Linked DNA regions of Lepisosteus oculatus. The protein of the gene in region 4 interacts with the protein of the main gene of each other region in a biochemical or structural test. Links are inferred from orthologs where the notes say so. Each region holds a gene or a part of one and is shown on either strand. Other genes may lie near its edges.

Region 1 (7,251 bases), on a different chromosome or scaffold from region 4:
CAGTGTGGCTGGGTACAGTAGCTTTTTATACTCCGATAACCCACTCACTATAGGTCCTCTCATGTTGGCCATTGACTTGGCCAATACAAATTGTAAATTTTCTTCTTCTCAAGCTTGTATGTTTAGGATAGTTGTCTTGCTGCATGACATACTTTTGTCTGGGAAAAGGATGGCCTGATATTATCCTCCAGAATTTACTGATACAGCTCTGAATGAATGATTCCCTCAGTGATAGTAAACCATCCGGACTGCAAGGTAGCAACGCAGAACAAACCATGTGAAACTCCTACTTCCATCAACCTCAGGAAGAGGTTCTCCTGTTGGATGTCTTTGCTTCTTTTTTGCCACACAAAACAGTTCTCATTGTGGCTAGAAAGTTTAACCTTTGACTTGTTTATCCAGAGAGGATACATCTTCTGGATCATCTTTTGTGATTGTGAGTTGAAAATGTTCTTTTTATGGAGAAATGGTTTCTTCTTGGTCATTCCAATTCAGGTTTTTGTGATAGGTGAGTCATGAACATTGAAACTGCACTGAGAGAGGCCTGCAGAACTGTAGATGTTACTCAGGGTTTACTGGATGATTTTCTGTTAACTGGAGTGACTTGCTGTATCATTTTTGAGGGTTTTTCATTTTTCTGGGATGCTCGTGGTGGGGAGTTCTTGGGCGGGACTGCCCATACTCAAGGACAAGGCCGCCTATACTCAGTCTTTGTGTCTTTTGTAACCAATTATTTAACCGCCTGGTCTAATTACACCATTTAGACAAATAAACAAGGGATTAACATTATTTTACATACAGTACAATTTCTTAATTATTTTTTTTTTTGCTGGTTCTCAAAAAACATTGAACTGGTAAATATAAATCATTTTGTTTATTCAAGAATGACTTGGGATGGGAGGGGGTAATGGGGGAAATTTGTTTTTATTTGTATGATCATTTTTTGTGTTTACAGAATAAAAAAAGTTGAACACACAAGAGAAAGACTGGTTTCAATTAAAGAAAGGTATCTTGGTAAAAAAAAACAATTACCCCTTAATTATACTGGGATCTCACAAACGTTTTCTTGGCACTGTATGAACAGTGGTTTAACACTTCACATGAAAGATGACTCTTCCTATAGCAAAATGCCCACTGTTACTATATACTGCACTGGTGCATTAATTTGGAAACTCTGTTTTAGGGGGAAACGTCCAGTCTACTACTGTATATCACATCAGTAGTGTGATTTACCTAAGAGGTCTTCCACCGTGATACTAATCGAGCCCCACATTTCAGAAGGTGCCATCATCACCACTGACAATCTTAAAAGCTTGTTTTATTTGCAAAATCCAATCCAATTGCTGAAAATTATTGTTAAAAGAACCAGTGGTAAGCCATTGCTTTGTTGAACTGTTTTCATTTTCCAATTGGAATTAATGTATTCATTCTAAAGAATGTCTAATGCCAGAATACTATTTAGTACCACTGAAATTGTAATTATAAAGAATTAATAGGTTATAAAGCAATATGTCTGTGGAAATAAGTTTATTTTCTTTTTTAAGCCCAATAAAATATATTTAGTGTAATTCCTCACATAATGCCAACAATGTTTAATGTAATTTATTATGCCATCTCCCATAGTCTGACTATGAGGACCTTATTGCAAAGACAGCAACATGATATCGTTTGATTACTCATTTTATAACAACAGATGTTTTTATTTTCTGAAATACACTGTATGTAATTTTCAATTGTGTTGTCATGATACTCTAATTCCTGTGCCAGACATTAGCTGACAACAAAGAAGGTTCTTTTATAACTAAATACACAGAAAAATAAATTTATGGAGCGTATTTAATTTTCTGGACACACACCAAGTTCAGTACTAAAGAAATTTAAATGTTTCTTATAGCTGGGCAAAAGTCAATACATTTGAGACTAGATTAAGTTTAGCATTAACAAAATGTGCTGACTAGACACATACATCACCTGATTCACATTAAATTCCTTGGCTTGTTCATCATTAACTTAGGAATTCTTAAGTTACCAGGTGATTGAGCTCTTTGATAGGACTAGCTGCCCTTCAGTTCCACAATAATAAATCTATTGGTGGTGGGAGCATGATGTAAATATAAGCTATACATACAGTACATCCATGTCTTTATTGTGAGATACTGTATTTTTCTGGTGAATGGGGTTCTCTCCTTAACTCCTAAAGAAATACCTAAGGAACTGGTTCATATGTCAAGAGTTTCATTTCTGATTTCAGAAATACATACAATGCCCCTTTCATCTAAAATGTTTTATGGAAACATTTCTTGATTTTCTTGTTTTCATGTTTAAAAGCAAGCCAATTTAAAATATTACAAAATGATAGAAATATTAGAAAAACATTGTCTCTACAAAGAAAATGCAAATTCATTTAGTTGAAATATTTTATGGACATATAAAAACCTTTTCAGCATTCAGCAGTAAAACATCTATAAATACAAAATGGAGAGACTTGGTAGGAGAAGAGCAATCATCACACAAATTGATGTTAGACTGTTAGATTAAACAATTAGCCTCAAAGTTTTAATAAGTTTGCATTTGCTATTTACAGAAATATACCTACATTTATATACACATTTTGAACACACAGGTCTTCACGTTCCTTGAAGTTTTAAATTGTAATTCTGCGTTTTTACTTTCTCTGGCTCACTGCTATTTCATCTTGATCAAATCAATCTACAACACATTTCTATTCTCTCCCATGAAATATAGTAACTTATTTTTGCAGCAATGGTATTAATTCAAAGGGCACAAAAATCACCATCCAACTAGTGACAATTAAATTTACAGTACATTTCTGTGACCATGTTGGTCAACTACTGATCGTTACAAAATTCTAGACATTTATGCAAATTTATATAAAAACAAATACAGATAAAATCCATTGTAATATAAGCTACTTTATACTTTTAAAGAAATCATACTTTCACCTATACTTGTTTTTTATTTGGACCTCTTTTTCAATAGAATAGATTTATTAGATTAAATTTAGATCGCCAAAACTCACCTGTCGCTGTGGAGGTACAATCCAAAGGGAGTCTTCCCTTTCTTTCCTTCAGGTGTTATCTCCTCATCGCTGGACTTTGAGAGACCAAAGGTTGACTTAAAGGCTTAGATATTTACCTGGATTTTGTCCTATGAATCTTAGATAACTACACTTTCCTTTTTAGGAAAGAAGTAAACTAGAAGTGTGATAGCAAGCCTATTTTACAAAATGCAGCAGAACAGAGTTTGTAGTTAAGTTCCTTTAAAAGAACAAAAACGCATTCAATTTCGACAGCCAGAAACAGTCTAAACATGTGATATCAGGTTAAGTAAGGTCCATTTACATAAAATAATAAATAATATTAAAGTGAAGTGAAATACAATAATTATAGATTGATTCAAATATCACATATATAATGATCAAATATACACAAAACATGATAGGCTTTGTTATTTGTTCACCTCCATCTTATATTTAATACTGTAATATGTCTAGATGTTTATTGAACAAGAGGGAGAGAATATGTGTACCACTACAGTTGTGTGTCTTTCTGACTATTTACATGCATCTATTAAGTATTATATATTTACTCTTGCCAGAAGCTTCTGTTTGCTGGTCAAGAGAAAGATCTTCAATTGCTAACTGATAGAAAATCAATGGGTATGCATCTCAGCATTGCCCCCGGTCAGTTATTGCCTATTTAAATTCTGTGAGGTGTAGCAAGCTGTTAATGGATAAAGCAAACATCTTATCTCGAGTGAAGTTAACAAAATGCTCTGCTACATTTTTGCATCTTTTTAAATAAAATGTTTTTATTCTCATTGAATTTTTTATTTCCCCGTTATTGTTATCACACCGCTAAAAATATCTAATGAAATTTCAGCATGGAATAAACCTATTACTTGTTCCTATAATAGTAGTAGAATTTGTTTTCTATTTTTGGTATCCATCGAGCAGAAGAAATCTCCCTATTGCTTAGCGATGCACTTGTTTAAGAATGGAAATAGGATATCATCTGTTTAGCAACAGTTTTAGGAAATGATTTAGTCATTCCTCATTCCTACTCGTTTTTGTGCCTAAAACATAGAATGCAGTTCTCTACAGTAGTTCTGCATGTTATAATGGTTCTATAGAAGGTAGGATCCTGGTACTCACAATCTTGTAAATATCTGTACATAACAGTAATATGTACTGTGTGTTTGTTATTGTAAATATATTTGTCAGATCAAGTTTTGCTTTACTTTATTACCACATTCATACAGAGAACAAAAAAGACGGATGCGAGTAAGTGTTACTGCTTTGTATTTCCTGACAATAGTAGGTGTGAAATAGTTTTTTTCACACCCACTAACTTATAATTATATATGTAGGCTAAACACAGTATATCTTGCTACTACAGTATATATAAGAGTTTATAGTTGAAGGATGGAGGGTTTAGAACACTGCTGGGCAGTTCCAATATCTTGTGAAACATACGCAGCATATTTTAATATAATTTTAATATAAGTCTGTAATTTATCACTTAACAAAATATTTAGCTATATGATGTGATTTATTTAATAATAATAATAATAATAATAATAATAATAATAATAATAATAATAATAATCGCTTTCACTTATATAGCACTTTTCTGGTCACTCCACTCACAGCACTTTACAGATAATGGGAATCCCCTCCACCACCACAAATGTGCAGCCCCACCTGGATGATGCAACGGCAGCCATAGTGCACCAGAACGCTCACCACACATCAGCTATCAGTGGGGAGGAGAACAGAGTAATGAAGCCAATTCATAGATGGGGATTATTAGGAGTGTCACGCCCTCTGCAGCCAGAGGGCACTCCTTCTCTGTCCTGTCCCTAGTTTCCGGTCTGCTGTCCTTTCGGTCCCTCTCTTTCCCTTGGGCTATATATTTCCGGGTCTTGCACTCTGTCCTCGCTCAGCACTGATGTTCGGATGTCCTAGCACCAGGGCGCCCCACGTCCGCTCCCTGAGGGCATAGGTTTCTATACGGCACTCCTGAACTATTTGCACTATGAGCCCGGGCCTTTTTCCCGTCTCGCCGCTACGCATTTGGGTCTTTTTCCGCTCTCCTGCTCCCCACGGTTAGTCCCTTTGGACGTCCGTGACAAGGAGGCCATGATTGGTAAGGGCCAATGGGAAATCTGGCCAGGATGGCAAGTAAAGGCTTATTCCATGAACATTTACTTGTTCCTTTACAGCCTACGCATGCTGATGCAGCTACCTACTTGAATCATTTATTTTAGGTCTTAATCAGATGCTAATGGAAAAATACAGTATATGTAACTTGTGCAAAATAGAAGCTGTCCATCCCTTAACTAAAACATTCTAAAAACATTTAAAATGAAACCAAAACAATAAATCATTGTACAGGTTTTGATTTCCAATTGTGGCTAATCCAAATGTAATCTGATAAGAAGATGGACAGTTCTCACAGTGCAGATTTTGTACACAGTACCATCTTAATTCTGCCACTAACCATTAGCCATTGCCACTCCATTAACCACGTCAATTGCTTGCTTCAACGGATCAATTAATCATCCCTCACCCAAATGTTACACAGGTAAATTAATTATTTAATTCATTTTGCTTTTAGCCACATTTTTAATTAGGTATTATCTTAGATTAATATGCAAGCTAAATTAAATCTAAGTTAAACTAAGTTAAACTAAGTTAAATTGAACAAGCTCTTTAACCAAGGTACTGTAATGAAATTAGGTTCTTTTAGTAGAATAAAAAAATTAAAACATCAATTTCTAACTGCTTCATCTAATATACAGAGGTCACAGGGGAGCTAGAGTCAATCCCAGCAAGCAATGGGCACAAGGCAGGGTACACACTGGATGGTCCATCTCAAGGCAAACGCACGGACACAAACACAGACACTAACATGCACAAGCTTACACCAGGGGCAGTTTTCCCAGAAGCCAATTAACCTATCAGCATGTGTTTGGACTGTGGAAGGAAACTGGAGTACCCAGAGGAAACCCACGTGAACACGGAAAGAACATACAGTACAAACTCCATGCAGATAACACCCCAGAAATTGAACCCAGTGCCCCAGTTCTGCAAGGCAGCAATGCTAATCACTGTGCCATCATTTTAAAATCATGACAAACATAAAAAAATACAAGTTCAGGTGGGTAGCTGCGTCAGCATGCGTAGGCTGCAAAGGAACAAGTAATAGGTTTATTCCATGCTGAAAAAAAGAAGAAAGAGAACACAACGTTTCGGCCGTGGAGCCTTCTTCAGGTGTCAAAAAAAATAAAAATACAAATACAAAATAAAAATAAAAATAAAAAAATACAATATAATTAACATGACAAAATCATGATCTCACACACTGATTAGAAGTACTCCAGAATTTTCACATGTACAGTACATTGAATATTACGGAGCCCAACATCAGTGATAATCAGGGTGTAAACTAAATTACTGCATAGCACAGAAATCCACAATCCTCGTTCCTGAAAAAAGGATTTCAGTTCATTTATGCTCTTAATGAACTATATCAAGAGCTGAACTGAAGAAATTTAAAAACTTTTCCTAATTCTTCCACAACTGCTACTGAGCCCAGGAAATCCTACTGTACATACACATGTTCCTCCAGGTCCAAGATTGGAGATACCCGGCACAGCACTGAAGTTCATTCAGGTCCAGCTGGACTGGGCTGGATAATTCATTCCAGCTGCTCACAAAGCTTAGTGTAATGAAGTGCTCTTTGCTACCAAAGTGAGTATGACTTTAAGGAGGGGGACTCAGTTCCTAGATGACTGCTTTACCTTCTAGTTTTCTATTCAACCTGAGAACTCAGATTAACTTCATCAAATCATTTTCTTAGACAAATGGATGTTGCATTTTTCCCCATAGACGGTACCTTAAAAGATACTTTGCAATCCTGATACAGTATATTTAAAAATTTGCAGGCCTGGAGAGAATTATTGTATTTATCCAATTAACCAAACAAACTAACTATGAGTTGGAGTGAATGAAAAGCCAGAAGACGCTGCAATCCTTCGTGTTTGAGACGCCTGCTTACAGTAACAGCTTATGGTGATTATGCACAGCATCACTTTGCTTGGTTTATGCACATTTGAAAGGAGATCATAAAAAGACTATTAAGGAAAATCCAAAGTGCTGTAAAACATTTGAAGCAATGCCATCAAAATTAATCAAATGTAAAATTGTGTTATAAATATACCCTGTAC
Region 2 (8,171 bases), on a different chromosome or scaffold from region 4:
TAAAAACTGAAGCAATAATACTTTTTACATCTGAACTTTGAAAGGACCACATTATCTGCTCCTTATCAACTCCGCACACTTTGGCTATTGATAGTCTTAGTATAGCATCACGGACACAGGTCAGGAACCTTTTATACAAGCTTGCACTTGAAGCTCATGTTTGAAATACTGTGAAGATGTCTTTTTCGATCTTAGCAGCATTGGTAGAAATCCTTTCACATCTCTCCCAATCTGATACAGAAAGCAAACCATGGTTTTATGTTTTCCAGGCTTGAATAGTTATGAAGTGCTTGCTGGTACCTGCAATTATGTTCCTAAGTTGCAGTATGATCAGAACATAGTGGCACAGAACTTAACTAAAATTAATTAAAATAAATTACTCAGAATGGAACTCAAAATAATGCAGTTCATCTTTAAGGGCTTTAGCACCGTAGTAGAACTCCTGTGAAGCTAATCAATTAACTGTTAACACTTACAGTATACATTTTGAGCACACTGGATTCTTTCAAGGCCCAAAACCATGGGAGACCATGCTTTCTTTAATGTTGCACCAAGGCTATGGAATGATCTCTTAGCTCATATCATCAGCACTTGAAATCCTTTCTTAAAACTTTTTTATTCCAGCTTTTAATTGTTTAGTTTACTGTATTGACTCATCTACACTATAGCTGTCTCTGGTGTTGATTAATCAAAAAGCGACTTCAGAAAACATATAATGAAAGGCACTATTTAAAATTAATATTATCATTATTTAAAATGAATTAAATGGAATTAAAAATAAACTCTTTGCTGTTAATGGTGAAATGAATGGGAGTTCATCACAGACACAGTCGATCACAAATTACATTATTTACCCCATAATAGTATTTTGTTAAGCAAGAATGGTGTATCAAAGAAAATATCCCAAAGATACTCGCAAAAAATATTGGTTTTTTTTCCAGTTTTGAAGATGTATCTGTAAAAATGAACTAATTAGCAAAACTATTAACTCATGATGTAAAGCTCAATACATCATAATTCTCTAGCTTCAAGACTCTCTTATCATCAAAATTCTCAAAATGCAGTCTACACAACCAGTCAAACATATTGTGATGTATCGGACACAACAACACATACAGTACTTAAGTTTCATAATGCCTTTTTTCCTGTACCACGACTAAAACAAGCATGACTAAAACAAGTCAAGATCACGCCTCATGTTCGGTTCATTATTGCATGAAGCAGCTCTGAGCCAACACTGGTTCCAGTTCTTATCTGCAGCAGTGAGACATTCAGACATCAGATTAAGGGTGCAAATGCAACAGGAGATACACACCAACAGTAAATATTAAGGTTGAATCAGTGTGGGTCTTTCAATATAAAGTATAATTTGATCAATATTAGTAGTGAAGCCTATTCATTTGTGTATATATAAAACTGTTTAAAGCAAAACAAATGCTGTAAGACATTGTTTTCCTGCTACCTTCAAGTCTGACTCAATGACTCTGCTGATTGTACCTGTATACTGTATATTTGCTTATTTTTAACAAAACGCAGAAAATCTAGAGCAGATAGCAGCTGAAATGAAACATGTAACAAATCAAAATGTCCTTCCTCTTAAATAAAGCAACTGTTCTAACTTAATTTTCTAACAGATATTGTATCCCATTGATGCTCTCAACAAGAAGTTAAGCCTTGAAGGGAACAAGGCAACTGCTCAAATCCAAAGACAATCAAAACAGAAAAATAAAATATTAACATTTCTCTTCTTGTTAAAATAAAGCATTTGTGTCATTGTTAAAGCTACGGTTGTATTTTAAGCTATCACTGTTGGATCACGTTGGAAAATATTTGTTTTATTTGTATATCTCTATATAAACTTTGATTGTAAAGCTGCAACGCCACGCCCACATACTGCAAAAGTGTGCCTGAAACTGGGAACGCTTGTTCGCCACCTTCCTTCACTTCCAGCGAAAGACATCAATCATACAATATCGCCCGAAAGCACAACACGGACTGCAAAGAATGATTTACATGAGGCATAATACTAAGACTGTAAAACTGTATACAGGAGGTCGAGGATGGGATTTCCTTTTAGCTTCTGATAGCAGCTATTGAAGCCGAAAACAACTCATCTTTTCCGTGCCTTTCAGCTACTGATGCTTGACTTCACATTACAACTTAAGACCGGATTCTAAAACGTGTAAACAGCAACAATATTAAAATAAAAGGTGAAAAACTCTCAAGGAAATTATTTACGGTAACTTTAATTAATCTGCTCCCATCCAAAGGACACCTCTTACGACCAAACCGCTTTGTTGTGCTTTTAAGTTTGTAACTGGTATCTAAGGCTACGCATAACGGCCCACTCTCTTTTGCATTTTAAACTTTGCTGACTTTGACCTTTCCTGGAAAAACAACAAGAACGCGAGAGAACATAATTTTCGATGACATCCAAGTTTTAGATTTAAAACTGTCGTCGTTTTGTACAGTGCATAAACAGGAGTAACACTCGATAGCACGAACTACACACATGAACTGTATAGTATACAGTATAGGTTTGCCTTAATCAAAGCAGCGGTACGTCGATGGCTACATTACAGTATAGTACTACTCACCTTGTTTGACACATTTCAGCCTGATGGGATCTTTGCAGTGTTTGACAACGGCTAACACATCCCTGATGGTGAGTCCAGCCACTGGAGTATCATTGACCTCCAACAGTAGCTCATCCTGGGACAGTTTTCCACTCTGACAGACAACCTTGCCTTGCTTTATTTCTCCGACATAGGAGAACTGCCCATTCTCAGCGCCTCCTTTCAATTCAAACCCAAGCTCGCCTTCTTTATTCCTGCAAATGACAATTTCGTGGACTTTGTTGGTCCAGTGGCTTTTCTTTTTCAGGCTTTTGGACATGGCTGAAATAAATACTGCATGAGTTATTCATGCAATAAGTTCCCAGTACTGTCTGTGATATTGGATTTTGATGCCCCAGTGGATACTAGGTTATTTTATTAATACTGGATGCTACTGGTAATATCCATGTCAGCCAGCCTCTATAGCAGCTGTCTGGGGCTGCGTTACACTGTAACTGTGAAGCTGGTTTACACAGAGTTGCAGGCAACTGACCCGGATGTGATGTCTGGAGGAGAGAGGCAGGGCTCTGAATCCCTCCGCAGAATAGCCAGGAGGAAAGATAAAGAGGCGGTGCGTTTAATTTTAATACTGAGGGATTAAGCTTGTTAACTGAGAAAGCAAACTATTCAAAGGGGAATCGGCGAGATGTGCTAGTGATGCCTGTAACAGACATATATAAAACGAAATTAACGAAGCAGATTTCTGACACATTTAACAATGGGGCGTTCAGGTCCTTTACAAATACACAGCATGCCATAATATTTTAATTCGTTAGAAATTCTTCTAGGAAATTTGCATCTCTCCCGTTTTAAATATCTAAAAATAAACTTGAATGCAGGGAAATAGCAAACGCTGTGTTAACGCGAATTGAGGGCATAATATATGTTTAAAACTGGGTTCCCAGATGTGCCATGGCGGTATCAGTGTTCCCTGCGTCTTTCTAGATGTACCTTCATGTATTTGCAATTCGTACATATGATGTCTCAGACATGTTGCCATTTCTAATTGATTACGATTACGTTTCTAAAAAAACACGTAAAGTATGAGCTTAACAGACTCCATTTAAATAAAGACCTACTGTATAGTTTTCGTTTGTTAACATGCTACTTTTAACAAAGAAGGTTACCTTACGCCCAGTAAGTAAAACCAACAGGACACATTGAAGCTTTCCATGCACACATAGTCCTCGCTTGGCTTCTAAGTGAATGAAGTTGTAAAATTTGGCTAACTACCTGCAGGTAGCTTGCCAAATTTTACAACTTCATTCACAGGGATAGTGGATGTAAGGGACTGGAAACAGCTTGTGGTATCTAATCCAATTCTAAAGCACTGTGATGAAAACTGTCGACAACGGTGTCATGCTGGAACCAGTCTTTCCAAATTCTTCCTAGGTGTACTGTACCTTCATGTACAGTAGTTGTAGTGAGTGTAATGAAAAGAGCTACTGTATTATCTCTGAAAGTAAAGAAAGGACTTTCATTCCTGATTCTCAAAAACTATTGAAAGGTTGTTTTAGTCGTTGTTTTACATTACTTAAAAAAATGCATATTTTCTTACCTAACACACTCCAACCTTAAAAGGAAGTTATTAATTGAAGTTCAGGAGGGATAAACACACAAAGTCAATCTCACCCAGCTGTTCCTAATCATAATCATTACTGAATATTGCTACTGTATATGCTGTACAGTATATAGTGTACAGTATACAGTATATAATGCAAACACTTCTTTTCACATTTGGCTCATATACGTTAGTCTTCATCCACCTCATCCCCACCTTGCAGCTACCGCTTGGTTATTTCCTCTGTTAGATTGGGGCTCAAGCCTCCTCATCCTATGTCCAGGGGGCTACCCTTAACAAAACAGGTTAAACCAAAGCTATCCTACCTAAAATACTCATACATTCACAAAGCATATGATTCTAGGATTTAGAATACACAAACATATTTATTACTCTCTTTCTGAAGGTTCACTAGAGTGTGAATAGTGTTTTCTTTTAAAGTGTTTCTCTTTTGTAGTTTGTTTCCATGATGCATTGGAATACTGTCTTTCAGTAAATTGCCTTGTAAAGTACTTTGGGTGAATAGCATTGCACATACAGTAATTAGGCACAGTGCCATTGTGAAGGAAGCACACCGTACTGAAGACTTACTGTAACAGCCTTTGACAGTTGGTTCTGGTCACCGTAAAGAGAGACTGTGCAACATTTTAGTAGATTTGTTGGAGTACACTTGCCTCAAATGGAATCCAAATTTAAATCGCCCAGGCTTTTTTTACAATCACAAGTATGGTATGAGGCAGATTGTCACCCAGCCACTTGTGCCTGGCACTGTACTGTAGCTCAAGAATAATCCCAACCAAGTTAATTTACAGTATGTTACTGAGAAGTATATCTTCACAATTTTGTATGAACCCAGACATATGTTTCTCCTTTTGTGTTACACTTGAGTGCCATTGCAATCAACCCTTTCTTTGTTCTTTGGTTTTATCAACAAGATATCAAGACCTTCTATTTGCAGTTTTATCAAAATCATTTTTAAATGTCTATAAAATAACAACATTTTTCAATGTGTATAAAATAATAATGCTTTGTAAAATGGCAATGATAATCACGCGCACCATTTTACACAGATATAAAATACCTCATAAATTTGAGGTTTGTGCTAAGGCCATTTAATGTTTATTGAAACAAAAGGATATCTAATATAATGCAATTATGAGATTATACATTTTGGAAGTTTGTTCACATGTCCCCAAAGTTTTTGGATGTGAAATAAACTAAATATCTCTTTATCCTGTTCTCAGTATTTTGGATAACTGGATGACCATATGGCTTTTAGATGCCAGGCTATAATAAACTGATATCACTATGCAGATTATCAGGATATTCCATGTAGATTAAAATAATAAGGCTCCAAATAGAAGCCTGAATATACAGTATGCTAATCCCAGAAACATTGGATTAAAGCATTATGCCGAGCTGACCTGTGCCAATTGAGTGTATGAGAGCTTAATATGCACAGAAGCTTTTAAACCATGTATTAGCAAGATAGACAAATAAGATTATAACATGCTGCTGAATTTTGATTTCTTTTTCACAAAGACATTTTTCACCAGCTGGAGTAGATGTATAATATTTTGTTTTCTTTGAAGCTGTGATTCTTTTTAAGAAAAGTATATTCAATCTTGCTAAATATATACTTTATACTGTGTATAAAATGTGTTTAATTAAGTTTTGGTCCATGCAGTCACCATACTGTTACAAGTACAGCACTTTCAACACCTGGTACACAACTGTAAGACCAAACTGATGATCTTGGAATTGTGAGGTAACAGTACTAGTTACAGTACCACATTAACACTACACCCTTTATTTTGCAAAATATTTAATGGGTGTTACATTTTGTTGAAATTTTGGCTGAAACACCCACACAGGATGCCTGACTTGTGTGTATACAGTATATCTTATTTAAACAGCCAACTATATGTTTACTGTTCACAGTGGAGACTTTTAAAATATGATTCACTGTATAAAAAACACAAATACATAGTTGTTTCATCAAGGTTAATTTTTGTTTCCTTGTTAAATTATGTAAAACATTTTGTAAGCATTCACAGAATAGAAAATTAAATTGCTAGAATATTTCCTATTACACTACAGTATGTCTTACAACCAAGTAATTTGAAAGGTTACCATTTGAACTACTGTGCCTTTCAAAAGTATTCACTTCCTTCCTTTGCTTACTTTTACCTTATTTCAGCCACAGAAGCATTTTATTTGAGCATTCAAATTTTGATTAAAATATTGACTTTACAATATGTGAATACTGTACCTCATTTGAAATTCAGCAAAATGATTCATTTGAAGTGGATGATGCATTTGCAAGACATTGCAATTTCTATTTTCTGTTCTCTTTAATGGAAATAAGACAAAAGCAAAAGAACATCACTTAAAACATTAAAATAATCTCGACCTCCCCAAAGTGGTGAGTTTTGCACATTTTTGAAATTCTTGAGGTGGGAGGTACACTCACCAAAACACAACCGTAGAAGGAGTGTCTCATTTTAAAGTGGGATAGAAATTTTATTTTCATAGCAAAATGAATTTGACAAGTCCTTGCTGACATTGTGTGGGAGCTGTCTATCTTAGCAGATAGGTCATGTGGAATAATACTTCGTAATTAGCTAGGAACATTTGGTGCGAAGTCAGCATGGGAGCTGTTGTCATCTGCTCCATGCTACACTGATAAACTATACAGTAAGTGACAGAATTAATAAAGTATGTCCACTGACCACAAGCATGCTGTTGGCTGTCAAAACTCTGTTTTTCTATTTGCCTGGAATGTAATTAAGTTAAGGAATCTATGCTGTGGATTCAGCATTTCATATTTTCATTCACAAAAGAGGAGAGAAGAGAGTGACAAAGAATGAGGGATAGAGAGAGAAGCCACTGACCTGAACTGATAGCAAGAGTTTGCAGTAGAGTAATTCTGTCAACCATATTCTACAGATGAAGTGGCGAGAAGTTAGGTGCTTTGATGTGGGAATCTTTTAAATAACATACATTGTATTGTCTGCAGTAGAGAAGTGGCATGAAAGGATAATTGGTAATAATCTATCTGAGGTTTCACTTCTCCTGTCAAGGAAGGCATCATTGAGAGTCCATTAATGAGAAATCCAAAAAACAGAAGGGACATTAGATTTTTACTCCCCGACATGCTGAATTTGGTATCCAATTAATCAAGTTTCTAAGATGATGACTGAATGGTTTTAGGGATGTGAACTTTTATGTTTTATCATTATGTTGTTTTAAGTAAAATACAGGTTTTAGCACTTTAGTTTTCAGGAAATGTGAAGCAATGTTGGGATGTGTGTCAGTATACAGTATGCATGTGTTTTGGGGGGCACAGGAGTTTCATTAAACATCAGGATTGTAAATGGCAATTATTAAAATCCTCTATGAAGACAGAAAGTTTAACAAACAATAAGTTCTATTTTTCTTCACACTGTTGCATTATTCTCTTAAATAGGATGTCTTGACTGTTTATTTTACTTCTGGGCTCTTAAATTATGGAAATGTTTTACATTATGAACTGAAACTGGAGCTGCAAGTCTTAAGAAGAAAGTTTAACAGGAAAAATATGCATTTTCTGAATCTTATCTAAATAATGTTTTCTGGTCAATGAAAGTGAAGATTTTCTATTTTTGTTTCAAATAGTGATCCTGAGACCACAGATCTGCATATCTTTACGTGGAGAAAGCTGAACAAATAAGCATGGATGTTTCTTCATATTTTACAATACCTGTGTTTGGGTTGTCAAATTTTACTTAGAGCAAGTGATATTTAACAAGTGCAGGTGATATTCCAAAAAAATAAAGTAACATGGTGTCAACACATTTTTGACCACGGTACTATTTTCAATATGGTTGTGACATAAAAGAAGCAAGTACAGTACATTATAATTCTGTTTAATGCTGACCTACAGTCCCACAAGTAATATTTTGCCATCATAACATAACAGAACAATGGTGCAGTTGCATGTTTCATGGTACTGA
Region 3 (7,305 bases), on a different chromosome or scaffold from region 4:
ACAGAGTTATCCACTGTCTGGATTTCAGAAGGGGAGGCAATATCACTTTTGTAACACGCTCAGTGCACTGAGCCTTGTTGCTCTGACACCTAGAACTTGTATGATCAACAGATTCATACCACCTAGATACAGAGCAGCTAACCACTGGGAAAGAATAACAGTATTTTCTCCATTTTAGTATCTATGCAATAATAGCACCTTTGTTTCTCCATTGTACAGAAGTGCATGTATTGTAAAATGTTTCGGTTTAGCAGTCTTCACCAATAGTGCAACCTTGCTGTCGGCCAAGGGTTTGTTTCTGTAGAATGGATTAAAGAAAACAACTGGTTGGGTTTGACAACTTCAGAAAGGTTAGAAATTTGGTCTGGTATGTTAGGAAACAAGCTTAAGCAATATAATGGAAAGATCTGTCCGTCTTGTAACACACCAGACTTATTCCACATTTAACAGGAAATTAATGAGTAAGGAAGTGTAAGCAGCTGTTCAATGTCTGCCTTCCTGAAGCCTACTTCTTAATTTCTCTCAGAAATAGCTGACACTCATTCTGACTCTGTCAAGGTGGGTGTGAGAGAATGATTTCAAAACTTTAGCCCTGCAACTTTTTATAAAACCAGTTCCAAAAGTTGTAAAGCAAATGTGGAAATGAGAGAGCTATGTGAAATTGTAGCTCAGTTCTGTTTAGAAATTAATGTTGAGGGAAAGATTTGAAGGTTGTCTCTCAAAAGTCTATATTACGGTTCACAAACGTTGTAGCTAATTGTTGCAACTCTTTGAAATATGAGCACAGTTCACCTGATTTAGATGAAGAAGTGCAATGTCTTCAGTTCTGTTATACTGTATGATTATTGGTTTGTTTGTTTTTTTAATGGATCTGGTAAATTATATTAACGAATGATGATTAATGCATAACATTGTGTAGTGTTACATTTGTTGCCAGCCACATAAATAGACTTGATTTTAGAAAAAATCAGAAGCATTCAGTTCAGTTTAATTATTCCATTTAGACTGTCTTAATTTTTACATCTCTTCTGTATGCCATATCTGAGATTCTAAATAAAGGTATTTTTGAAAATGTTCTTTCAATGTCTTTGTTTAAAATATGTAAAGCAAAAGGGTAGAAATTACAGTGATGCCTGTAATTAAAATTGAAGAGGGGAAGCAGAAAAATAACTTTAGATTTAAAGTTTGCTTAAGTACCCTTTTGGATTATTTGATTAAATAAACCCTCAAGAATCAATTCACAAGAGTTAATCTATTAACAATTTATGTTATTACTACAAATTATAAACTGTCCAAGTTAAGATTAACACTGAAACATTATTTGTCAATGAATTGACATTGACAAAGGTACCAGATATTTTTGGTACTTTAGTTTGTTTTCCCATTTCCATGTTGAAAATCCTATGTGAGAACCTTACTTCTGTTATGGAAAAACAAAACATTCATCCAAAACACCTTGTCTCAACAGTACCAAACAGGACCACGCTGTTTTTTAAAAACAAAATGGCTTTGTAAATAGTGCTTGTGGGCAGCACATATTTTAGATGTGCTCAAGGTGTACATATTACAGTGTCTGTACCATAATTTTTGAAACTGCTGTTTACGAATTATAGAATTATCTCTGGCTTACTTCAGCCTCATTGAATTTACCTGCATAGATGTTCTGAAAACAGTTCATAGCGTTTAGTCAGTAGAGGTAAGAAGAGATAGCACTGACAAAAACCTATTCTACTCATATCTATAATGCAATTTTTTTTGTTGAAACTTAAAAGCACTGTATCGGAGCTCGCTTAATACCCTTACCAGCAGGAAACTGAGAAAATCAGAGCAAACTGAATCAACTAAAACCAAGAGTGAAACTAAATTGCACATTGTGTACAGTGAAAAGAGAGGTTTTAAAGCACATTTTAAATATGCAGAGCTGCAAATTCCCTAATGGATTTGAGTAGGCAGGGCACTGCACACAAGAAGACCCTGTTGACCCTTGAGCAAAAAGAACTGAATCAGCAGACCACAGATTAAGAGTTTATCTGCTCTCGTGCAACAAGTTCTTAAGATAACCTAGATCCAGAACATTCAGTGTCTTATAAATATGTATACAAAAGACATTCAGCATGAGATCGATATTTTTTGTTTTGTGCTAGCAATGAATAACTCATCTGCCCCTTTTTTTTAAATGAAGAAGAAGCTGTAGTAAACAGTTCAATAATGAAATTTGCCCTTTCAATGTATTGAACTTAATACTTGTACCACTTAAATCCACAGAAATCACACATAAAGGAATTTTGTGATTGTGAAAGGGTTTACCTGCAAAATGTTGGCATAACCATCTTAAATATGATGGGGAATCTGAAGGTTTTTACTGAGCATCAACGAAGCTTCCCAAAAACAATTGTGCAATGATAGTATGTTATTTGAAAAATAAAAATATATGGATTTTGGATATTAAATGTCTTTGTTTCAATTTTTTTAATTGATCATTCGTGACTGACCACTAAATTTTCTTTGGTGCATCAACACTAAATCGTGTGCAAGCGATGAGGTGATTTAACCTGGTGAATGTCAGATCTATCTATAATGAAGACATTATCAAGAGAACAATGCCTTTATAGCTTGTGAATACCAAAGGCCAAACAAAGTCTGAGGTGTTCACAGGAACACTGGACTGCAGTTTCTAACCTAGTTAGACTTTATAGCCAAACTCGTTAAAGATGGACCATGATCTTGGAGACCATGAGTCGTAACACCTCACCATAATCAATGGGGTCCCAGTGTGATGGTCTGGGCAGGAGTGTCCTGTCGCTACACAACTGCAGTTTTAGTGAATGCCATTAACCAGAGTGCACAGTGCTGCTCGGATCTCGTCTTGGGACATCCCATTCTGTGACCTCTTCCAGAACATGACAACCGTCCGGCGCAACAACACCTACCCTCGTGCTGCTCGGGGAACAGCAGCTTTTTCTAAAAGGTAAGAGTGGGGCAGTTATGTGGCAGTGGATGCCCTACTGCCCGGTCTCGAGCTCCACTGCCAAGAGCTGGGATGACGTGTGGCATTTAGGGTAGACTGGCCCGTGAACAGGCACTTGTTTGTCCAAGCTGTAGGAGAGGAATCTGCCACAGAATCCCACAAGGCAGCATCTGCAGCCGATACAAAGCGTGAACCAGGACTGATTCACATGTGTTGCTAGCCTAAACTTTCACAGGAAAGCCCTGTTCATACGCGGGAGTTTCATAAACTAATGTCTTGTAATAAAATGTTGAGTGCACCCGCTGCAAAAAAAAAAAAAAGATTTCCATTTTTGTGATAAATTTGTGAATTTGTTGCAGGTACACAAGGCAGGCTTCTTTTCATGCTCAGCATAATTAAATTGTGAAATCAACTAGATGTCAGTGTTGCTCTAAGAAAGCAAAAGTGGGCCTCATTAATTTCAGTTAAGGCATCCAAATAATCTCCAAACGACGTTAAAATGATAAATGTATTATTTGACACTTCTACTCTGCTAAGATTGATCTAATTGCAGATATAGGTATAAATCTGACTTTTCTTTTCAGCTTTTTAGTTTTCTAATCAAGAGGACAACAAAACGAACTAAAAAGGCTTAAGAGAGATTTGTGCGCTGAGAGCTACTCAACGCGCATTAAATGATATCAAAGGACAACAGCAACGTCCTCGATGCACAGTTTTAGCATTAAGTATTGTTTTTAACAGATGTCTCGGGTGGGTAGATTTGATAGCGAGACGCACATAAATCACAAAGATAAGCCCTTTAATCTGCTTCACCTGTTTGACTTTCACCTGTACGGAATAAAACACCAACATACGCCACTATGGCATTTTAAAAATGCGTCCGTAAATATTTTCACATTCACATTTTTGGGGGGTGGGTAACGTAACTGCACATCACAGGCGAAGGGTGAGGGTTTCATGATCGGCGGGCACCTCGATAGGTTTTCCCACGCCAATGATGAACTAATGCGGACGGCATTAAAGAAGCTATTCCGATGTGCTGCTGCTTGCGTGTCCCTGTCGGCAGACGGGTCTGACTGCAGCCCATTGAGTGACTGGAGAGGACTTTTTTTTTTTGGCTAAACTCCTGCCCCAGGTGTTGCTGTTTGATCCCTACCGGTCTCCGTACTGGAATTTCAAGTGCATGACGTCACTCCCGCTGCCAACAAGAAAGTTCGCAAGTCCTGGGCAGAACTTTTTTTTTCCCTCCCTTAGAGAAAGAGGGGGGATTTAACTCCAAATTCGCGGTGTCTCAACTACGGCTAAATAAAGTCTTACGTAACGCTCTCCTGTGTGCCTTTTTCTAATGATAAGCGTACGGCCAGCCCCAGGGAACCATGGTAATATAGGCAAAAGCAAAGTCAACGAGCAAGGTTTAGATGGAGGATCGGCAAGGTAAGTAGCTCATTTGAACTCACTTAGCAAAAGGGTTTATGATGCGACAAAGTTTACATTCTTATCTTTGCGGCATTTGCCAGTAAATCCTAGTTAAATTCGCAATATATATATATAATCTTCACTGTTGCCCCGTTTATAGTGGAGTTAAAGTTAGGGGGGAGCATTTTCAAATTCCAGTATTAGCGAACCTGTTGTAACCTGAATACCAGCCTGCGAACACGCAACTTTCAGGTTTGGTGAGAGCTCCTCCGGTCGCAATTATTGTGTTTAGTTTGGGTTTCTTTCATGTTTTTAATCCAGCAGCCCGAGTGAGGCGATATGCTAAATGTGTTGAGCACCAAAGCTCGGGAAAGTGAAATGTGTGTGTGTACATATATATGTGTGAATTTCTTTCAATACACCGCTGAACCCTTTCCCCTTGAAGGTTTGTATTGATTCCAGTCAAAAGTTTAACACTTAAATGCACACTTCTGTGTCTAGGTTATGAACAGCTGGTGGTTCATTTTTTTAGGAAGGTGTGAAATATTCTGGAAGTGTTGGTGCGCACATTTTAAAAGGCGACGACTGCTTCTCCCCAGCCTGCGGGAAAAAGTCACAGCTCAGTCTGCAGTCGCTCAATTTTGATCCCTGTGCGTGTATAAATTAGCTGGTATTTCATAGCTTTTCTGTCTAAAAATAACTTGGACAAAAAAAGTCCCCCTAACTCAAACCATACTTCGGCTATGATCGTTTGGACACAGATCAATCCCGTAGGGTTACATAATGACACTTTAATGGCTCCTTTTAAAGCTGTTTTGCTTTTCTATTCAGACTGTTTTATCTAAATAAATACCTTTTAATTTTGTAAAAGTGCAAAAAAAACTGTTACAATTATTAAAAAATGCAGGGTTTTTTTTAAGGAGCTCCTTTTAAGTTCCAAAATCAAGTAGCGCAGTAAATCGCTGATTTATGCTGCGCTAAAAGGTCGGGGAGGACGGTTGCTTTTGTTACGAGTTCTTAAAGAAAACCAGTCGCTGCTGTGGTGCAAGTGGATGTTTGTGCCGTCCAAATGCGATGTTTTTTTTTTCTCACGCCTCACGACACTGTCTGGTCCTCAGGTGACGAGTCTTACCGTTGTGTGGGGTGTGGAAGCAGGATTCTGGACACTTTCTACATCAAAGTTCTCCAAGACGTTTGGCACAACTCCTGCTTTCAGTAAGTGCAAGAAGCTGCTGTGCGCAATTGTGACTGATGTTAAAATGCGCCTGGCTTAAAACTCACTGTTTGTCCTGTGCAACTGCAGTCTTCATTTGATTTCACTTTGACCAGTGGTTCAGAGATGCACCTTGACGTTTTGTTTTTGTTACATTATGAGCTGTAGCAAATAAAATAGTTTTTTTCCGATATCTACGGCTTTCGCAGTTTTTTTTTACTGATTTTTATTATTATTGTGGCAAACCTAGTCATTTTCTTTAGCCGGGCTAAAGCATGCACTGAGCTTTTTTTAGCGCTAGACAGCATATAAAGTCGAAATGTATTTGTACTTATTATATAGGTACAATATGTATTTAAACCGATACCTTTCTTCACACGCCTGTTTCAGTTTTTGAGTCTTTAGAGACTTCTCAGTGTCGTCTTACCGTCTCTTTCCTATGTTGACTTTAAAGCAGGTGAGCTGTCAGTGGTAATAATGAATAATAATTGCTTACACTTATATAGCGCTTTTCTGGACACTCCACTCAAAGCGCTTTACAGGTAATGGGGATCCCCTCCACCACCACCAATGTGCAGCATCCACCTGGATGATGCGACGGCAGCCATAGTGCAACAGTACGCTCACCACACATCAGCTATCAGTGGGGAGGAGAGCAGAGTAATGTAGCCAATTCATAGAAGGGGATTATTAGGAGGCCATGATTGGTAAAGGCCAATTGGAAATTTGGCCAGGACACCGGGGTTACACCCCTACTCTTTTCGAGAAACACCCTGGGATTTTTAATGACCACAGAGAGTCAGGACCTCGGTTTTACGTCTCATCCGAAGGACGGCACCTGTTTACAGTATAGTGTCCCCATCACTATACTGGGGCATTAGGACCCACATGGACCACAGTGTGAGCACCCCCTGCTGGCCCCACTAACACCTCTTCCAGCAGCAACCTTAGTTTTTCCCAGGAGGTCTCCCATCCAGGTACCGACCAGGCTCACACCTGCCTAGCTTCAGTGGGTTGCCAGTTGTGAGTTGCAGGGTGATATGGCTGCTGGCTGTATGCTGTAGTCATACATCTCCAGGGATTTGAATAGGAATTAACTTCTAGGATCTGTCAGTATTGTAGACAGGCATGTGATGCACGAATTTTAACTGTTCGTACTTCGGTGAATTCAGTGTTGTTAAGTCCTGGGATCTGTAGAGTGCATTTCATCACACAGGATACCAAAGCACTTCTAACTATAAGAGGGGATCTGCTTGAGTGATGTCTGGCACCAGAGTCCCCCATGCAATGAAGATCAGAAGGAGGAGGTAGTAAGTGTCCCACCAGCTGAATTATTGGGATATTTACTCAGATCGGATTGTGCTGTTGTAGAGTGGAATTTAGCCAGGACTACAGGTGATCAGTGCCATGGGATCTTAATTAATGACCCAGTCAGTTTGACATCTAAAGGGACACTGCTGTAGGAGCTGCTTTTACTTCACATCTCCTTACTGGGAGACTGATGTGGAAATTCGGATCCAGAGGGGAGTCACCCACTCTCATCCCGATACTGGCTGGACCCAGCCTCGCTCAGCTTCTGAGATCTGATGAGATCAGGCTACGAGGTGGTAACGCTGTTGCCTTTTATGAAACATTTCAGCAGTGTGACTTTATAAAATGAGAATTGTTGCGATCAGACGTTACACAAAGGGCTGTCACTATTGTGAGT
Region 4 (7,251 bases):
TAACTCCTTTATCCAATTCAGGGTCACAGAGGAGCCAGAGCTTATCCCAGCAAGCAATGGGCGTTAGGCAGGATATACCCTGAACAGGAGGCCAGTCCAACAGAGGCCACGCACACACTCACTCACTCCTGAAGCTAATGTTCCCAGAAGCCAATTAACCTACCAGCAGGTTTTTGGACTGTGGGAGGAAACCAGAGCACCCGGAGAAATTTCACACTAACACAGGAACACCATACTGTACAAACTCCACTGTGAACACTCCAGAAAGTGAACCCAGGGCCCCAGCTCTGCTAATAGCTCCACCACTGTGCTGCCACAAAGTTAATAACTCTGAGAATTATAACAAAGGCACTTTGCACTCTGCAGACATAATGCAGCTGGGTGGAGGGTACTGTACTTCAACCCTCTCTCCTCTCTCCTCTGAGGTGCACAGTCACTGTACACCAGAAGCTCAATGACAGCACAAAAGGTAGATAACGCTGGGATGTCCCAGCCAATTCATTTAACACGGGGGCACAGAAAATGTTTGAAATGAATTCTACCAGAACACAGGAGCTCTGCACTTTTCCAGTTATCTAGTTTAATTACCAGAAGCCAGGTCATTTTCAAACTTAAGGTCAACTCATCCAAAGGTTGGCTCCAACCGTAACATTGTCCCCTACTTGGCAAACAGTATGGAACTTCTGCACCAGGAGGAAAGGCGTGACCTACCCATCCAACAATGTGCCCCACTAAATACACCTTCATCATCACTAGTGAAACCTTTCAGAACTGAATTGTCAACCTGGGCGTCTTTGACACTATCCAGGGGGTCCCCAGAAATCAAGGGAATTTTAATCCCACGATCAGTATAGTGTAAAATCTAACAGCCTCGTTGAGGACTCTGTATGCTTTGACAAATATTACAGGGGATGTGCAGCCTACTGTACAGCAAAGACACAACCTTTTCTCAACCACAACCTCCTTCACATTATTTGTTGCAATCACAGTTGTGAACTTCAGGGTAATTAAAATCTTGGCTCCTTATTAGCGGTGATCGCCCTCCGTCACGATCCTGTCCGCCTCCACTTACTATAAAAGGCTGAGAGCTCCCGTCGATCAGGCCGTACAAAAGAAAAGCTGGAGCCCATGCAATAAACACACAGGGGAAAAACACTCAGAAATAGGCTCTTTCTCTGCCCCGCGTCTGTCAAGACTAGTCTACGGCTGTTAAAAGATAATTCTGTGCAGTCCCAAAAGCTCTGTTTGGAAAGCATAGCAGCCACACTGACTGCCAGCACTAATACTGGAGCATTTTCATTGCATTCCCAAGCATTTTCAGGAAGAAAGCAGCAATCGGGCCAGTCAAACGGATCATCGATTAGACACACTGGCGAGGCTGCCAAGAACACTGACTGGAGGAGAAGGGAATTGAGAGATTAGCGAGTTTACTTGTAACTAGGGGCCGTGATTCAAACCGATTCACAAATATAAGGATGACACCGTCAATCAGATAACGCAGTCGTCTTCACCACCCCTTTAAAAGGAATAACCACACCCAGTACAGCGGACGGCTCTGTATACAATATGTAGGTAGGAACCCAGCTCTCAGGACCAACAGAATTCAGTCTAATCGTCCCTAGTCCATATTCGATTTAACGCTATACTTCAGTACCGTCATTCCTACAGCACCTCGCTGTTCTAGACACCTGTAGATTCGACACATCTGGACTTTCGGCTGCAGAAGAGCGCACCAGCTCTGCCACTTACTGTACAACCGACAACCCCAAGTTGCTCTATCAACGGGTCGAGCTTCAGTGGAAAAAAACAACAACAACAGAACTTGTTTAATGCTAAAGGTTACATTAGAAAAAAATAAAATGCAATCTCGAACCAGGCGTGTGATGAGCCTGGGATGGTAGTGGCAAGTACAACTATCTGGATGAATCTTGCTGCAGGCTTTTCTGCAGCAAGCGGATTTCAAATGTATTCACACACTAGACAAAGTAAAACTTTTCACAAAACTTTAATATACATTGCTGGGACTCGGTGTTAACTGTGGCAAAATCACATACTCCTCAAACTTTCTGCGCTCAAATGTTTACATCTTCTCCTAAATTCTTTAAAACTTGTTAATGCCTAATATTTTTTATTTCCCCCACTCAATCTATTTTTTTTATCGCAGTGCTATAGGAAACGCTCTGCTGTTATGCAACCATTACTTCATAACACCTAAATTAAGAACTTATGGAGTTTACTCCTCGAGTGCTGTAACCTCTTCCCCACGTGTGCCTACCTGGCTTCCACAGCACTTAATGGGAAAGTGGGGGGGGGGGACACTTGACTCACAACGCCAAGCGAACCGGCTGCATTCTTACCTCGGTTTCCAGCTGAACAAGCTCCATCTTGGGCCATGGGTCTGCAAGTTGTGCGAGTGGCATCCTGAAACCGTATCTTCCCAAACACCCGTAGAAATCGTTACACTAATGAAGCCAGGCTGAGCTAGAACTCCCGAGGTTTTTTTTTTTGCAGTCCACGTCTTGCTAGCAGGAAAGCTCGCTCACAGGATCCTACCGTGGGAATCTGTTGGCAAAACCTCCTAGCAGCTCCTCTATAACCCAGTCGTTTACAAACAATAATGATCCCCCTTTAAAAATGACGTCGGCGTCTCCACTTGTCCACTTGTCCTCCTGCGAGCTTCAGACGGATACAGTCTCCCGTGTTAGCCCGAGCAAGCAAGGGGATGATTCTTCGGTGTGACTCGGCGGGCTCTTTCTAGGCAGGTACGTACAGGTTTGCAAGAAAGAAACAATGTAGCCGAAGCTCTCCAAGGTCGATGGCACTTCGCACCTGAGCAGCCCTGGGTCTTTACGCCCCAGGAATCGCTTTCTGGATAATAAATTCGCAAATCGTTTCCCAGAGGTTTGCAATGCGTTGTTTCCAAACAGGCGTTTTACGACAGCTGCATGGAGCTTAACCCAGGTTGTCAGACGCTTTCCGCTGCGAACCGAGAGCGCAGCGCCGTGTATCTCTGACTCCGCAACTGGCAGCCTCCAGCCAGCTTTCACCCTACCCCTTTCACGGCTCGTCCGGGCCGTTTGTCGCCCTCTAGCGGAGACGTGGTGCAAGCGAGGACAGCTATTCCTTACGACTGAATTGATGGGGGGAGATAACAGGGGAATACTAGAGGGTATTTGCAATGTCGCCAGTCCGGAGATGGTAGTCTTTCTTATTTTATTTTTAAATTAAACAAATAAAAACGTTCAAATAACTTTGTTTTTTTTAAGATAGTGGCCAGTCTTCGGAATCCCTCCCAAAGAATATTTCAAATATCTCCGTATAAAATCTATGTATTATTCTAATTTCCAAAAATGTTAGTTACAAATATTTACTTAATGTTGCCTTCATCGCGTGTTAAAAATCAATAGCATGCAACTTAACTGTTACCATCAATTTGTGAAGTGTGGATTTTTTAATTTAGTGAAATATTAATCAATATATTGCATTCATTCAGAAATGTAGCTGTTTTGGGGAAGATTTCAGTATCCCCGGCTTGGACATCAGAAGCCAGCAGTGGAAGAGAGCACCGTCTTTTAAAGAAATGAATGAACAGCTCAGAGAAACGGGGGACAACTCAGTCCCACACCGGTTCGGATCTCTTTTTAATGATAACACACTGCTTTTCTTCCTGCCTCGATATTAAAAAAAAAATAGGCGAACTATCGCTCACTAGCTTCTCTCACGAACAAACGAATCCTTTGGGGCCCTCTGTTGGCAATCAATCCTCAAAGATTAGACCATTTGAAATTCATACATTCATAAAGGGGGCTCTTCAATAACATTCCTGCTTTCGCTTCCAATGTGATTCAATTGGTGAAGCACGTCTCCCCCTTTTCTTCTGAGCGTGAGCTGCCGATCACGATTTGTCGCCCAGGAAAGTGCTTCCCGTCGACACTTTTGGGTTCCCTCATTATACAGTACATTGTCCTTAGGAGTGAATAAGAATAAAACCAAATTACCCTCCTCTACTACTGTTACTACTAATGATAAACTACAGCAGCTACTACTACTAAGAGTCTATTATTATTATTTAATAGTAATAATTGTGTATTGCTTAAATATCATTAATTAAATAAAAAATATAATACCAAAATTAATCCTTAATAATAAATTAATATAACAAATATATTAACAATTATTATTAGTAGTAGTTGTATAAAACTGCTACAACAGAAAATAATTTAGAGTGCTTACTCGAGGGTAAGAGTCACATCACTGGTGTCAGTAACGTGCTGTAATAACAGGACCCTAGCCAGCAGTATGATGTAGAGCAAGAGAGATCTTGCTAACACCCAGACATTTCCAATGGTGATCCTCACCAGTGGAAATTGCTCACTGAAGCAATGTGCTCTGGTTCTGCAGAAATTCCGGAGCTCCTGCATCTGTGACATCACATCTTCGCTAATGTAATAGTGTCGATTCTCGATGCTAGAAGAATGCCAGGGAATAATCTTCAACAACACCCTTCAGGCTGAGAAAAGACAAAGCTCTATAATAAAAGAGACAATGTAGGCACACTAGGCAGACATTAATAAATAGCAGGGCCTTCTGCTATTCTATTAATCATACTTAAAGAAAGAAAGTGGTTTTTATTATACACTGCTAACAAAAATCTCTCAAGAGAAGAGAAATATTGAAAATTGAAATATAGCACCCATTCACAAGAAGAGTAAGGAACCCAAGCCAATGGAGAATATAATCAGATTACAGTAGAGGACTGACTGTATGGTAGTAGGATTATAAGGGATAGTTGACATGGATTGCAAGAGGTTTGTCTTGCTAACTAAAGCACTTTAGAGTTGTTTGGAGAAGTACTGTAACACCAGCAATGGATGAAAGATGAACACGTTTTATTCTATATTTAGATTTTCAAAAGCCCTTTTATGAGGTTCCCAATAAAAGGATTAATGCTCAGATCAAACACATTGCTTGTGTTTGGATGGAGAAATGACTACTAAAACAGAGTCCAAAGTTTTCATAAATCAGCAAAGTTCCTATGTTAACTTGATTGGCATATAGTCAGTAAACTAGTCAAGTTCACAGCTGAAATAAGAAAATGGGAAGATGAGCAAAGATTGTAGAAGTAGCAGAGGAAATGAAAAAATAACTTGTATAAAATCAAACCTGGTGGAACACCTTCTGGTATTTAATATAGACAACTCGGGAGAACTATATGCAATTATATGCAGTTAAAAAATACAAAGAGAAATTTAAAGGGATATTATGTTACATGTGTACAATACATTAGTAATAACACATTTAGATTTGTGATCAGTACATCCCTGGTCCCCTGGTCTTATACACAGGAATGTTATACACTTAAAATTAAAAGTTAAAATAATATTTTAACATAATATAATTTAAGCAACAACATAAGAAAGAATGCAAGCAATATCAAATATCCAACTTCCGAGTTTGATAGTTTAGTAAATTTAAACTAAGATTTCATCCAGCTTGTTCTTTAAAATGCCAAGAGCTTTGGTCTTAGCCACCTGCCTGGGAAGCGTGTTGTAGATTCCCACAATTCACAATTCACAATTTTTACATTTTGAACAGAGATGACTGCGAAGGGACCTGATTCAAGAATTCCAAAACCCCAGTGGACTAGACCACCAGTAACACACAAATCAGAGCACAAGCAAGTGCAATTCACATGAGGACAGGATGCACCTTTCTGACACAGGTTGTGGGAGTCAGGAACAAGGTATTCTGCAATGGGTTTGAAGCCAATAACCAGGCTTCTTTGATGAAAACTGGACGAGACCCTCAGAATAACTTAACTGTTAGCAACAAATAGGACAGATTGGCACAACGGTATCCTCCCATCTGTGACGTTATTTTATTAAGTATATTTCTCGAGTCTTGAGAGCTGAGTGCAAACCGGTCTGAGCAGAAATTGCACAGAAGAAAAAAGAATGACAAAAATGAAATAATGAATCGCAGTGAGACCTAACTGATCTTCTGTCCCTTCATTTTCTAACTGATTCTTCCAATTCAGGATCTCAGTGGAGCCGGAGCTTATCCTGGCAAGCAATAGGCACACGGTGGGACACACCTTGGACAGGATGCCAGTCCATCGCAGGCAACACACAGATACAGATACACACACTCACGCCAGGGCCAATTTTCCCAGAAGTCAGTTACCCTACCAGTATGTCTTTGGACTGTGGGAGGAAACCGGAGCACCCAGAGGAAAGCCACACAAACACAGGGAGAACATATAAACTCCACACAGACAGCACCCCAGGAATTGAACCCAGGGCCCTGGCACTATAAGGCAACAATGCTTAACACTGTGCCGCCAATGCTACACCAAACTAATATTTTTGTGTTTCAAAAATACATTGAAATCCAGTACAGAATTTCAGTGATGTTGAGAGATTATTCCATCATTACCGAAAGCCTCGAGGAATCTCAGGATCTTCATTCGCATGAGGGTTATGACTCAGCCAGATCAGGATTCCCAGGGCTATGCCACGAGCTAGCATAAATGTGTACTGCGGGCTCCTCACTTCAGACTAGAAATGATGTGAGTTATATCGAATGCTATTTGTTATGGAAACACTATTGAATGCCACTGGGCTAATAAGACTCTCTGTCAGGTTTCTGCAGTTACTTTTTCAAATAGTATTATCTGGAATAAATTCAAATTTTTTTGTGTGTTGACTGGAAGAAGTGAGGCTGCCTCTTTGCATGTCAAAACTGAAAATATACACCCACAGGCATGGTAGGGGTCCAACTGCACCGAGACCCTTTCAGGATAAATGTAGGAAACAGGGCAATACAGAAAACTGGTTAGTTAGGGATAAAATACTGTGGAAGATTTCAAGTCATTTGTGTGATAACTGGGAGAAAATTATTGTTGAAAAAAATAATAATATTAGCAAAGCTACTGTATATGTTCAGCTAGTCCCTAATAAGCAGGATTTACAAGTAGCCATTAATCAGCTCTTTCTAAAAGCCTTAAACAATTTGTGATTAATGAGAGGTTACCTTACGTAATTATTTGAAGCCTAAAATATATGACCATTCAACCAATGAGGCCCAGAGTTCTATGAACAAATTGCTTGCTCCATTGATCATTATGGGTGTTCCTGCTCTTTAGAAGCAGGTACCCTTTGAGACAAACTGCACTGGGGCTCGTCTGCATCAGAGCGATCAAATGTCTTCAGACAATTGCACAAAAAAGAGAAACACGACGCAGGTTCTCGT

What was found.
Region 1: the proteins of rps6ka1 (region 4) and pdzk1 interact in a test that uses a peptide from one of them, tested with the Homo sapiens proteins (2 studies listed by BioGRID and IntAct). The link is inferred for Lepisosteus oculatus from reciprocal best matches to the Homo sapiens genes RPS6KA1 and PDZK1.
Region 2: the proteins of rps6ka1 (region 4) and magi2a interact in a test that uses a peptide from one of them, tested with the Homo sapiens proteins (2 studies listed by BioGRID and IntAct, with this or other methods). The link is inferred for Lepisosteus oculatus from reciprocal best matches to the Homo sapiens genes RPS6KA1 and MAGI2.
Region 3: the proteins of rps6ka1 (region 4) and limk2 interact in a test that uses a peptide from one of them, tested with the Homo sapiens proteins (2 studies listed by BioGRID and IntAct). The link is inferred for Lepisosteus oculatus from reciprocal best matches to the Homo sapiens genes RPS6KA1 and LIMK2.

The regions. Positions count from the first base shown.
Region 1 is NC_090710.1:24,600,612-24,607,862, forward strand, and holds the start of pdzk1 (Na(+)/H(+) exchange regulatory cofactor NHE-RF3), read right to left. Parts: upstream 3,117-7,251; 5' UTR 3,041-3,116; intron 1-3,040. UniProt on the Homo sapiens protein: A scaffold protein that connects plasma membrane proteins and regulatory components, regulating their surface expression in epithelial cells apical domains.
Region 2 is NC_090702.1:34,684,224-34,692,394, forward strand, and holds the start of magi2a (membrane-associated guanylate kinase, WW and PDZ domain-containing protein 2a), read right to left. Parts: upstream 3,062-8,171; 5' UTR 2,896-3,061; coding exon 2,598-2,895; intron 1-2,597. UniProt on the Homo sapiens protein: Seems to act as a scaffold molecule at synaptic junctions by assembling neurotransmitter receptors and cell adhesion proteins. Plays a role in nerve growth factor (NGF)-induced recruitment of RAPGEF2 to late endosomes and neurite outgrowth.
Region 3 is NC_090717.1:6,599,334-6,606,638, forward strand, and holds the start of limk2 (LIM domain kinase 2), read left to right. Parts: upstream 1-3,924; 5' UTR 3,925-4,386; coding exon 4,387-4,402; intron 4,403-5,502; coding exon 5,503-5,599; intron 5,600-7,305. UniProt on the Homo sapiens protein: Serine/threonine-protein kinase that plays an essential role in the regulation of actin filament dynamics. Acts downstream of several Rho family GTPase signal transduction pathways.
Region 4 is NC_090706.1:11,002,524-11,009,774, forward strand, and holds the start of rps6ka1 (ribosomal protein S6 kinase alpha-1), read right to left. Parts: upstream 3,036-7,251; 5' UTR 2,421-3,035; coding exon 2,358-2,420; intron 1-2,357. UniProt on the Homo sapiens protein: Serine/threonine-protein kinase that acts downstream of ERK (MAPK1/ERK2 and MAPK3/ERK1) signaling and mediates mitogenic and stress-induced activation of the transcription factors CREB1, ETV1/ER81 and NR4A1/NUR77, regulates translation through RPS6 and EIF4B phosphorylation, and mediates cellular proliferation, survival, and differentiation by modulating mTOR signaling and repressing pro-apoptotic function of BAD and DAPK1.